3 linked regions of the Coturnix japonica genome follow. The protein of the gene in region 1 purifies or fractionates together with the protein of each later gene. This does not show direct contact. Links are inferred from orthologs where the notes say so. Each region holds a gene or a part of one and is shown in the gene's direction. Other genes may lie near its edges.

Region 1 (4,438 bases):
AACAAGAAACTTTCTCAGCCAAGCTCGCCCTCTCCCAAAACACCAACTCCTTCAACACCAGGGGATACTCAGCCAAATACACCTGCCCCTGTTCCTCCTCCTGGTGAGAGCTTCCCCATTGAACACTCCTGTGTCCTGACCTCATCCTGGCTCTTCCCCTCACCGGACCTGTGGTGGTGGGGTCTGGGGGTGGACACAGATCAACTTACCCTCTCAAGTTAGGAGGGTTGCTTGAAGATGTTTGCAAACCCTTAAAGGCAAGAGAGGACATCAGTGAAAATAAGTACCCTGTGTTTGCGGTTGGTAGGAAGTCTGTGGGTTCATCTTGAGCGATGTTGTTCCTGCTTGAATGGGCATTTTCTCTAGGAGCAAAGATATGTGCATGTTTACAGTGGGGGAAACACTTCACTGATGGCTTCTTTTCTTTTTTTTTTTATCTGATATGCCGCTCTGGGGTGGGGAATACACAGAAGAGGGAATAAAGGCAGAAGAAGGAGCCAGTAACAAGGAACAAGGAGAGTCTGCTGAGCCAGAGAAAGAACTCAGTGCCTCTGCTAATGACACAGAGGTCCCTATGGAGGTGGGTATTGGGATGCTAGTTTGCCTCATGCAGTTGCAAATGTCTCTACTTAGAGATGATTCTCCTCATGTTCTCACAATCAGTGTGTAATAGTTTTGTGCGGATTTGCTTTCCAAACTGGTTTGACTGTCTTGTTTGCATACGCTGCGTTGTTTCACTGCTCATTGATCTGTCCTCAGCAGTGTGCCCAGCCTACGGAGGCAGCACCACAGGAAGCAAAATCCCCAGTGAATTCCACAGAAACAGATGAGAAGAAAGAAGAACCAGAGGTGAAGGAAAGAACAGATGAGCCAATGGAAGTGGAAAACAAAGGTATCTCTAGAGAGGTTGTTTAATACCTTGAACACAAACAGCTGAACAAAAAATGAACACCAGTATCCTCCTAAAGATGCAACTTCTTTGCCTGTGTTTTCACCTTATAGAAGCAGACATAAATGGATAACTGGTGGAGACTGTTCCATGACTTTGAGCAGGGAGTCAGGGAACACCTTGGTTTCATTGACTGAGGAACAAAAGCTTGAGCTCATAGTTACATCTCATACTCCCTTTCTCTCTTGCAGCTGATGTGGAGAAGGCAGAAGACAGAGCACCTACTGAGAATACCTCTGACCCCCCTGTAATCACCTTGGATGAGAAAGGTGAGTCGTGATAATTCCATTCCTGATTCCCTTCATGACTCCCTCTCCTGCAAGGACTTCCTGTAGGTCCAACTTGCTATGCTATCTGCCATGTTCTTTCTAATGACTTCTGTGCACGCAGATGAGAAAAAGGATGATGATAAGAGAGACGTGGTGATGCTGCAGAACGGAGAGATGCTGAAAGAGTCAGTAGATGAAAGGCACAAAAAGGCAGTAAAGCAACGGTTCATGTTCAACATAGCTGATGGTGGCTTCACAGGTATGTGAAATCTTTTTATATTTTAACTCATTTATATTCTCCTGTTCTCGTTCATGAGGTAACTTTCCATTATTTTTGTGTATCTTGCCTGTCCAGAATTACACTCCCTGTGGCAGAACGAAGAGCGGGCCGCAACTGTCACAAAGAAGACATATGAGATCTGGCATCGGCGTCATGACTACTGGCTGCTTGCTGGAATTATCAAGTATCCTTGCCCTGAGAAACCAGTTCTCTCCCCCTGTGCTTTAAATCTTGTTGTGAAGGTGACCGTTTGGGGCCTGACTGGAACGCGTTCAGAGAGAGAGTGCTTTTTATCATTCAGTAGAGTGAAAGAAATGATGGGAGGAGGGTTTTAGTGTCGGTGTAATTAAGACCTAGCAGGAAATAGTTCTCATTCCTCTTTCTTGGCCCCTGTTCCTCCCCTCTTTGTGTCCCCTTCCCTGACCCCCTCAAAAACTGTCTGCCTGGACTGTGTATTCCCATGTTCTCACTGCCTTTGTTTGCCTGAGCTCATCCCATCTCAGTCATGGCTATGCCCGTTGGCAAGATATTCAGAATGATCCGCGTTACGCCATCCTCAATGAGCCCTTCAAGGGAGAGATGAACAGGGGTAACTTCCTGGAAATAAAGAACAAATTCTTGGCAAGGAGATTCAAGGTAAGGCACCTTCATTGTGACAAATGCCCTTCAGCAAGATGAGCTTTTAAGAACAAGATGGCTGCCAACCCAAGTTAGGCCATGTAATTCTGAGTCTCGGAACTAAACATCAGTGTAGTTTGGCCAGTCAGCTCTGCTACAATAGAATTCAAATTGATTTCTTCAGAGGACTCTGACATGTTTAACAGTTTCTCTTGAATTCTTCCTCTTTGGTTGGATACTTCTCAGGTTCACTGGGGGAAAAAAAAGCTTCATCTCCTGTGCTTCATGCAGAAAGATCAAAGATTTACTTCAGAAATCCTTTAAGAAGGCAGAGGAATATGAATCTGTTCACAGCACTTTAGACTGGTCATAAGTTGGTTGATTTTCTTGTATACAGAGCCTGGCTTAATGAAGCTCTTTGTTTCTCAATATTTAGACCAAGCTAAACAGAAGATGGTGAAAGGAGTTTCAGGGTTCCACCTTGTGACAGACAATGACTAGATCAGGAAGACTGTGGTGGGGTTGGAGAGGGACATCCAAGCAGGCAACTGCTGGAGGACTTCTCACATGACTGCCCCCTCTTGCAGCTCCTGGAGCAGGCCCTGGTGATTGAGGAGCAGCTGCGGCGAGCTGCCTATCTGAATATGTCAGAAGACCCCTCTCATCCTTCAATGGCTCTGAACACACGTTTTGCAGAGGTGGAGTGCCTGGCCGAGAGTCACCAGCATCTATCCAAGGAGTCAATGGCTGGGAATAAGCCTGCCAACGCCGTGCTGCACAAAGGTGATGTTATGGGCTAAGCAAGAGTGGATGTGTTGAGCATCTTGTGCACCACACATGGGGAAGACCTTCTTTTTCCTCCTTCCTCTGCCCTGAATCCATGTCCCTTTCTCTTCTAGTTCTGAAGCAGCTCGAGGAGCTTCTGAGTGACATGAAGGCTGACGTGACACGCTTGCCTGCCACTATTGCCCGTATCCCGCCGGTGGCAGTGCGCCTGCAGATGTCGGAACGCAACATCCTCAGCAGGCTCGCCAACCGCAGCAGTGAGCCCCCTCCACCGCCCCCTCCCCAACAAGTATGTGCCCTCCCTGCTCTGCAGGCGGGGGTGTCTCGGGGCTATGTGGGGAAATAGCCCCCATACTACAGAGCCTAGCGGCTGTTCTCTCGCCCTACAGGTGGCGCAGCAGCAGTGAGTCTCCAGCCCGGTGCCGTCAATCTTTTGGCCAAGCCGAAGTGACCCTCCCCGCCCCACCCCTTCACACTCTGCCCCTCTGCCTGACATTCCTGACCGGGTGCCGTTTCTTCGTGGAAGCTGCCGTGCGAGTCTCTGGGAGGAGGGAGAACCTCCTTCCATTACGGCCAGCCCACCGGAGCGAGGAGTGTGCTGAGGAGAGAGGGGGACGGATGGATGATGGACTCTGTACATAGTGACTGAAGGCCGCGGTGCCATGGCTGTTACATGGAGAACCTGGCTGCGTTGCTCGCTGCCTCCGCCTGGAATTCCACGTTTTCAGTTTTGTAACTTTCTTTTTGGGTTTGTTTACCGATGTGACCGCACAGGCGAGATGAAGCAGAAGCCAGGACAGAGACAAAGCTACCTCCATCGAGATCCTTTTTAATACAGAAACTGACGGGACTTGTCCGCTCATTAAGCAGCTCGGAGAGGAGAAAATAAAGTGAAAAAAAAAAACAACAAAAAAACACAACAAAAAGCAAAAGGACAAAAGCAGAGCAAAATCTTGGTAGAACTGAAAAATAAAGTTTCCTTGTATTTTACTTTGAGGTTTCTGTGCAGCACTGATTCTCTCTAGGCCTGAATCCTCCTGCTTTGCCTTGGGCTGGGCTGTGAGAGGCCCTGCCGTCTCTCGTGCCGGCCCACAGAATCACAGAATGACCCAGGTTGGAAGGGACCTCAAGGATCATGTAGTTCCAACCCCCCTGCCTGGCAGGGCCACCAAACATACACATTTACTAGACGAGGTTGCCCAGGGCCCCGTCCAACCTGGTCAACGTGGCCCGTGACGTTCCGCCCCGCAGCCAATACCGGGCCGGGGGCGGGTCGGCGGACGAGCGCGTGCGCGGCAGGGGTTGGCCCGCACGTGGGTTGTTGGCGGTGCCGGCTGTACCGGAGCCATGGGGCGGAAGCTGGACCCGACTAAGAAGGAGAAGCGCGGCCCCGGGCGCAAGGCCCGCAAGCAGCGGGGGGCCGAGGTGGAGCTGGCCCGCTTCCTGCCGCCCGGTAAGTGCGGCCCGTGGCGGCCCGGGGCCTTGGCGCTGCCTCGGGGCCTGTCTGAGTGCCCGTTGTGTTTCTGCAGAGGAGGA
Region 2 (2,447 bases), on another chromosome or scaffold:
AGTGGCAGACACCTCCCAGCAGCTGGATCCCAGCCCATCGAGGTGCTTCTCACCTTGAAGGATATTGTCTGAGGCTGCAGTATTTGTTTCCACAGCCAAGCCCATAAGGATCAAAGAAGACATCCTGGCCTGCACGGCAGCTGAACTCAACTATGGCCTGGCTCAGTTTGTCAAGGAAATAACACGGCCCAATGGGGAGCGCTATGAACCGGACAGCATCTATTATCTGTGTCTTGGGATTCAGCAGGTGAGGGAAAGCTTGTTGTCCTCACTTCCTTCCCAGCCAGGCCTGGGGGTCACATCTGGTGAGGGAGAGTTCTTGCCCTTTATTTTGCCTTCTGGAGACCTATGACAGCAACCTACCCAGTTTAGTCTTTGTTCCTGAGCCCAGTGGGAGGTGACAGGCATTCCCTGTCTTTGCACCCAAGGAGCACATCCTGGAGGAAGGCCGAGTAAACTCTCCAAATTCAGTCTCAGTCCCTTCTCATTCATCAGTTCTGCTTTGTGATGTCCTGCAGTTTCTCACAGCTTTCAGGAATGGTTGCTTTTAGCTGAGCATCTGCTCTGCAACTCTGCCTGTGCAAGCCTGGGTTCTGCGTGTGTCCTGGGCTTTATGGGAAGGATTTGCACTCCAGGTACCGCTGTCTCTCTTGACTGTGTGTTCTGTTCTTTCTAGTACCTGCTTGAGAACAATCGTATGGTGAATATATTTACAGACCTTTACTACCTGACCTTCGTGCAGGAGCTGAACAAGTCCCTGAGTGGCTGGCAACCCACAGTCTTACCAAACAGTATGTGTCTCCATATTACCTTAACTTAGCATGCATACATAACCCATTTGTGCTTCTTGCATTGGATCCTCCAGTCTGTTTGCGTTCCTCCAGCCTCAGTCTTCTCTCTTGGCACAGGCAGTGCTGTTCCACTGCATTTTAGGGTCATCCTGACCCATACTGACAGCAGGGCCAGTCTGGTTTATGCCTCAGCAACTTTGTTTCCCAGAGTCAGAATGGCTGGGAGTAGAGCGTGGCTGCTTTGTTTATTGGAGCAGTTCTAACCTTTACAATAGTAAATTTCACTGGTGTCTGAACCCTTTAGTAAGGAGGATACCAAACCAACAGGTGTGGAGGCCCATGTCTTTCCCTTCCCAGTCTGTCGGAAAGCCCTGCACACTGTTCTGAATGTTGGCCATGGTTGCTGTCATGCTACCTTGTGAACAGACTGCCTTAGAGCTTTGCAGAGGCTTTGCATGATGCCACAATCTGGGCTTCCTTCCCTATGGTGTCTTGTAGTTGCTGTAGCCACTCCTCTGCATGATGGCTGTTCCAGGTGGAGGCCTTCAGCTCCAGACCTGTGTGTCCAGAAAGGCGATGGCTTTTCTATTATCCCCCACGGTGAGGTGGAGCACTGACCTGAGTCCACTTCACGGTCGTTTATGATATGATCCGTTAGGATTTATTGAGATTCTGGGCTGAGATTTGCCTGTGCCGTGGAATGGGCAGGGTTAGGGTCCATTGATGGCTCTGAAGGAGGAACCTTGTGGGAAAGCGGGCATTGTGAAGTGTCAGCACTGAGTTGAACTTGGAGGAGAAGGGATTGCTCCAGACACACGTTCTTCAGATGCTTGGGGCTGGCTCCCAGCCACTGCTGGCAGGCACATTGTTCTAGTTCCCTCCTGAAAGAACACAAGGCCACTGTGGGTGTTGACCTGGTTCTTCCTCTGTATTACAGACACAGTCTTCTCACGTGTCGAGGAGGAGCACCTATGGGAGTGCAAGCAGCTGGGCGTTTACTCACCCTTTGTGCTCCTTAACACCCTTATGTTCTTCAACACTAAGTTCTTTGGGCTGCAGACAGCAGAGGAGCACATGCAGCTCTCCTTCACCAATGTAGTACGGCAGTCCCGCAAGTGCACCACAGCCCGTGGTGTCACGAAGATGGTGAGCATCCGCTACTGTGCTCCTGCCAAGCAAAAGAAAGGCCGAGGTAGGGTCTGACAGAACATCTCTTTGTCCCTCTCCCTGCCTTCTCCGTCATGTCCCAGCTGTGATCCTACTCTGTCCCCCCCCTTTGCAGATGGTAGCACTGGAAAGAGGAAGCGTGAGGAGGAGGTGCCAATGTTGGAGCAGCGGGAGAACAAGATGAACCCGCTTCGATGCCCTGTCAAGTTCTACGAGTTTTATCTCTCCAAATGGTGAGGCTTTTCTGGATCAGAGGCTTGTGTTGTTTTGGGGCCACCTCTCAGTTTTAGGGATAGCCAGTGGAGTAGCTGCTGCTCTCTGCATGTTCTTCCATGAGCGTTAAGCCTTGACCAGGGTCTGCTCTGCTCGTAGACTGTGGTTGAGAGAGCACTTTTCTGTCTGCTTTCATTCTTTATTTCTTGAAAGACGTGGAGGGGTGCATGGCATGTCTGCTTTATTGGTTAGGGAGTTTACTTTGGAGTGAAGACT
Region 3 (3,788 bases), on another chromosome or scaffold:
GCCCAAGACAGCACTGTAACTTTTTGTACCTGAGTAAAATAGTGCTGAGTGCTTCCAAATGTAATTATGGACTCTTTGTGATGTCTTCTTATTTCTGAAGATAAGTGAAATGCTTCCATGAAATCTAGAAATAACGAGTTTGTTTAAAGAGATCTTTGTACCCACTCATACTCTATTTTTCCTTTTATTTCTACTGTTCAGGGGAATATTGTGTCTGAAAGCACTGAGCTTAATTTAGTATTTGTGGTTTGAGAGGGACAGGATTATTTGCTTCCCACAGTTTGGGTAGTAAAGAGAGACTGATCAGCTTAAGTTTGCCAGATCTTTGTTTCCTTCTCTGCTTTTTCATATACATTAGTATTTAGTCTGCAAAACATTTAGTAACATAGCTTTCAAATCTCTGCATGTTTGACAGTCTTTTACCAGACCCAATAAGGATATTGAACTGAAATCATGTAATGTTCCTATTTGACTACACACATACATGGTTTCAGTTTTGCTTTAAAAATACTGGAAGCTGTGGTTGTTTCTACTAAAAATCTCAAAGAAACAGTGAAATCTACATTGTTTGTAAGTAATTGATCTTGATGTTGCTTGAAAAATAGCAAATATGTCAACGCTAAAAGACTTTCTGCTTGTGCTGTCTGCAAAAGTTCAGCAAACATGGCTCTGGGATCTGAGGAAGAGGACCCATTCCCAATGAACGCAGAATGTCTATTCTGCATCTGATGATTTCTTAAATGAAGGAACATGCACTTTGAAGTTTAGAACCACCTTTTTTTGTTTCTTTTTGTAGTCCACCACGTATTAAAGATGAACCAGATGATGACGGGTTTTATGCTTCTCCTAAAGAGGACTCCAAACCCCTGAAGAGGCCTCGGGAAGATGATGAGTAAGTGACCTGGGTACTGGGGACTTGAATGCTTGCCTTTGGCTCTAGAAAGAGAACACCAAGGGAGCAAGTAGGATCTAAGATATTCAGCCTGTACTGGGGGACTGGAGATCTGAGACTAAATTTCTTACACTATTAAAAGTTTTCTGAACAGAGTAAGGATAGCATCTACGTTGTTCATAGAAAAAATACCATTACCTGCTTCTTCAGATAGTTCTGTGCAGAGCTGCAGAGTTACTAAATAGGGGGAAAAAAAGAAAAAGTGAGAAGAGACCAAGACTGTAAAGCATAAGTCTGAGTAAGTGTGGTATTAATGGTAGCTAAATGGCTGCAGTGGTTTCTGATGGGTGAGCAAATGACAACACAAGAGGAAGAAAATACAGTCAGCCTGCTCAGTACAGGGGAGAGTTTCACATGCACTGCATGGCATGAGTCCTTTTTAAAAGTGTCTGAATATGTTGTGGATTACACTGGGGATTTTATTCTTTAAGAAAGCTCATGTGATGTTTGCCTGATACATAGTAGCCTGCCCAGTGAAATAAAAACCTGGTTACATCGTGCTATGATGTTACCATCTAGCATGTCCAGTTTTTTAGATAGCATGACCCATCTAAAAGGCCTAGACTTAAAGGCTTGGAAGAGCTTACCACATTGGCATTCTGTTCTAATGTCATGTTTCAGCATCCAAGAGACATGGGTGTGACATCTTCTCTTTTGTGTAATCATTTGCTACCTTCTGTTAAGTCTTTGTGACCTCCCATCTCATGCCTGCAACAAAAAGATTAAGAATTTGTCAGCAGTCGATTTCGCTGGTGTTCAAACTAGTGGGGGATGCAAAAAGTGGGTACTGGAAGCAGTTCCCAAACTGATGATTACAAGAGGGACAGCATGTTGGGGAAAACATGCCACTGAGCTTTCATTGATTTATTTTATCCCATGTAATTGCTGGGTGGCTGCTAATACTCTTTATTTGGTGCAGCATCAACAAAAAATTTTTGTTTCAGCAGCCTGAAACTTCTTCTGGGCATCTGTATAGTTGTAATTATACAAAGATATACAGTTGTAACTATACAAAGGTAAAGTAGATGGATAGCCAGAGGTTATATGGGACTCACCACTGTTGAGGCTCACAGTCAAGACACTCACTGTAGAATCTCCACATAGGAGCAGTCTCCAGAAAGAGATGCTGCCTTAGTGGTGGTCAGCCCTTAAATGGGATCTAGGAGAGGTGGAGTCAAGCTCAACCCCTTCCAGGAGCACAGCTGAATTACCTTCACCTGTGCTCCCACAGCTGACCCATCACTTGCCTCAGATGGTTAATCAGATGTTCAGGCTGTGATCAACAGTTTCCCATACAGCAACTACTTGTAGTTATAGCCTATGGATTTTACATACTATAAACTTGAACACACAGATTTTATACGTGTATGACTTAATATTTTTTATACTGGAAAATGGATGATTTTCATCAGCTAGTCTTTGTTCTTATAGTGCTGACTACAAACCCAAGAAAATAAAAACAGAAGACATAAAGAAAGCAAAGAAAAGGAAACAAGAAGAAGAAGAGGTAATGTGAAAGATGTTTGTTTCTAGCAAGAAAAGCAAGACTGATAATTCAGTATTGAATTGTATAGAGCAAGAGGAATCGAATTCAAAGGGAAAGGGGCAAGGATCAGTCCTGGGACAAAGCTGCATGTAACAGATACAGACTTGGAGTTCAAGTTGACTCATCGGAGCCATAATGTATAAAGTCAGGGGAACTTTGTCTCTTACACTTAAAATAAGGGGTAGAGGGAATATCTCCAGATTGAGAATTCGTAGTGTGTTCCTGGCAGTTCAGTCTTTCTGCTAAGTAGGATCATCTGCAGAGAGTATAAGAGCCTTACTTGCAACACCTGGTAATTGTGCTGGTAATTTGGCACTGTTCAGAAACAGAGGAGATGAAACTTGGATTAGTCACTGGAAAGACATTTAAAGCTTTTAGATGAAACCGAGGATGTAAATTTGGAAAGGGAGGTGGTGTTGAGGTTAACCATAGTTGGAGACTTGAAAGCTATGCTGCTGTGTCTAGCAAAGGCTCCTTTGTGAAGCACATGTTGCAGGGAGCTCCTGGAAACTTGATTAATTCTCAAGTTTAATGAAAGTGTCTTTATAGAGAACATATACCATACATTCCCAGAAGCCACCTCATAGTGATGTAATTTTTCTCTGTGGCACTTGCCAGAGTAGATGTAACTAATGCACACTGAGGAGACTGTTCCTATAATTGAGCAATCATGTTACTGTGGCCCAAACTTACTGCTTATCAAGTGAGGCAGAATAAGTGGCTGTTGTGTGCACTTAATATGTTCTACATCTAAGGGAAATAATTTGGATTAAAACTTTGAAGTGTGGCTGTCAGCAGAGTTTGACTTAAACGTGCACTTCAGTCATCGTGTTCTGTATTTAGGCTTTCATAATTCAGCTGTTTGTGGTCTAACTAGTGCATGCCAAAGGATAGTTGTTTAGTTTTAAAACACCTTTTGCCGGAGGATAAGAGGGATGGAATGTGGTAACTTTTTCTAACGTTTTACAGGAGAGCAAAGCAAAGAAGGCTAAGAACAAAGATAAGAAAAGCCCTGAAGCGGACAAAAGAAAGAAGCCGAAAAAAGAAGAGGAGCAGAAATGGAAATGGTAACTATATATTGATGATGTAGGCTGCCCTCAGCACTATCACTGTTACCTCCCATGCTGACTGAGTAACCACATCTGCCTTTTTTTTTTTTTGGTTGATTCATGAGGGTTTGTTCTGAATAATTGGCTTACTTTTTTGTAAACTCTAAATGAACTTCTCATTCAGTATGTTCATCCTCTGAAATAGAAGTGAAAATCCCTTTTTTCCTAGGCCAATGATGAG

Evidence for each region. Proteins that work in one complex are often made in the same cells at the same time.
Region 2: the proteins of CHD4 (region 1) and ZMYM3 purify together in Homo sapiens (affinity purification with mass spectrometry; 3 studies listed by BioGRID, with this or other methods). This does not show direct contact. The link is inferred for Coturnix japonica from reciprocal best matches to the Homo sapiens genes CHD4 and ZMYM3.
Region 3: the proteins of CHD4 (region 1) and TOP1 purify together in Homo sapiens (affinity purification with mass spectrometry; 3 studies listed by BioGRID and IntAct, with this or other methods). This does not show direct contact. The link is inferred for Coturnix japonica from reciprocal best matches to the Homo sapiens genes CHD4 and TOP1.

Annotation. Positions count from the first base shown.
Region 1 is NC_029516.1:69,333,872-69,338,309, reverse strand, and holds the end of CHD4 (chromodomain-helicase-DNA-binding protein 4), read left to right. Parts: coding exon 1-103; intron 104-130; exon of another isoform or gene 131-272; intron 273-470; coding exon 471-580; intron 581-759; coding exon 760-892; intron 893-1,140; coding exon 1,141-1,218; intron 1,219-1,339; coding exon 1,340-1,477; intron 1,478-1,573; coding exon 1,574-1,682; intron 1,683-2,001; coding exon 2,002-2,134; intron 2,135-2,703; coding exon 2,704-2,899; intron 2,900-3,015; coding exon 3,016-3,159; coding exon of another isoform or gene 3,160-3,191; intron 3,192-3,291; coding exon 3,292-3,353; 3' UTR 3,354-3,892; downstream 3,893-4,438. Other genes in the region: NOP2 (probable 28S rRNA (cytosine(4447)-C(5))-methyltransferase), read left to right, coding at 4,250-4,355, 4,432-4,438. UniProt on the Homo sapiens protein: ATP-dependent chromatin-remodeling factor that binds and distorts nucleosomal DNA. Acts as a component of the histone deacetylase NuRD complex which participates in the remodeling of chromatin.
Region 2 is NC_029519.1:2,250,239-2,252,685, forward strand, and holds part of ZMYM3 (zinc finger MYM-type protein 3), read left to right. Parts: intron 1-95; coding exon 96-247; coding exon of another isoform or gene 248-352; exon of another isoform or gene 353-659; intron 660-676; coding exon 677-791; intron 792-1,728; coding exon 1,729-1,983; intron 1,984-2,073; coding exon 2,074-2,191; intron 2,192-2,447. UniProt on the Homo sapiens protein: Plays a role in the regulation of cell morphology and cytoskeletal organization.
Region 3 is NC_029535.1:4,172,693-4,176,480, forward strand, and holds part of TOP1 (DNA topoisomerase 1), read left to right. Parts: intron 1-796; coding exon 797-892; exon of another isoform or gene 893-936; intron 937-1,090; exon of another isoform or gene 1,091-1,129; intron 1,130-1,539; exon of another isoform or gene 1,540-1,660; intron 1,661-2,007; exon of another isoform or gene 2,008-2,064; intron 2,065-2,383; coding exon 2,384-2,459; intron 2,460-3,467; coding exon 3,468-3,565; intron 3,566-3,788. UniProt on the Homo sapiens protein: Releases the supercoiling and torsional tension of DNA introduced during the DNA replication and transcription by transiently cleaving and rejoining one strand of the DNA duplex.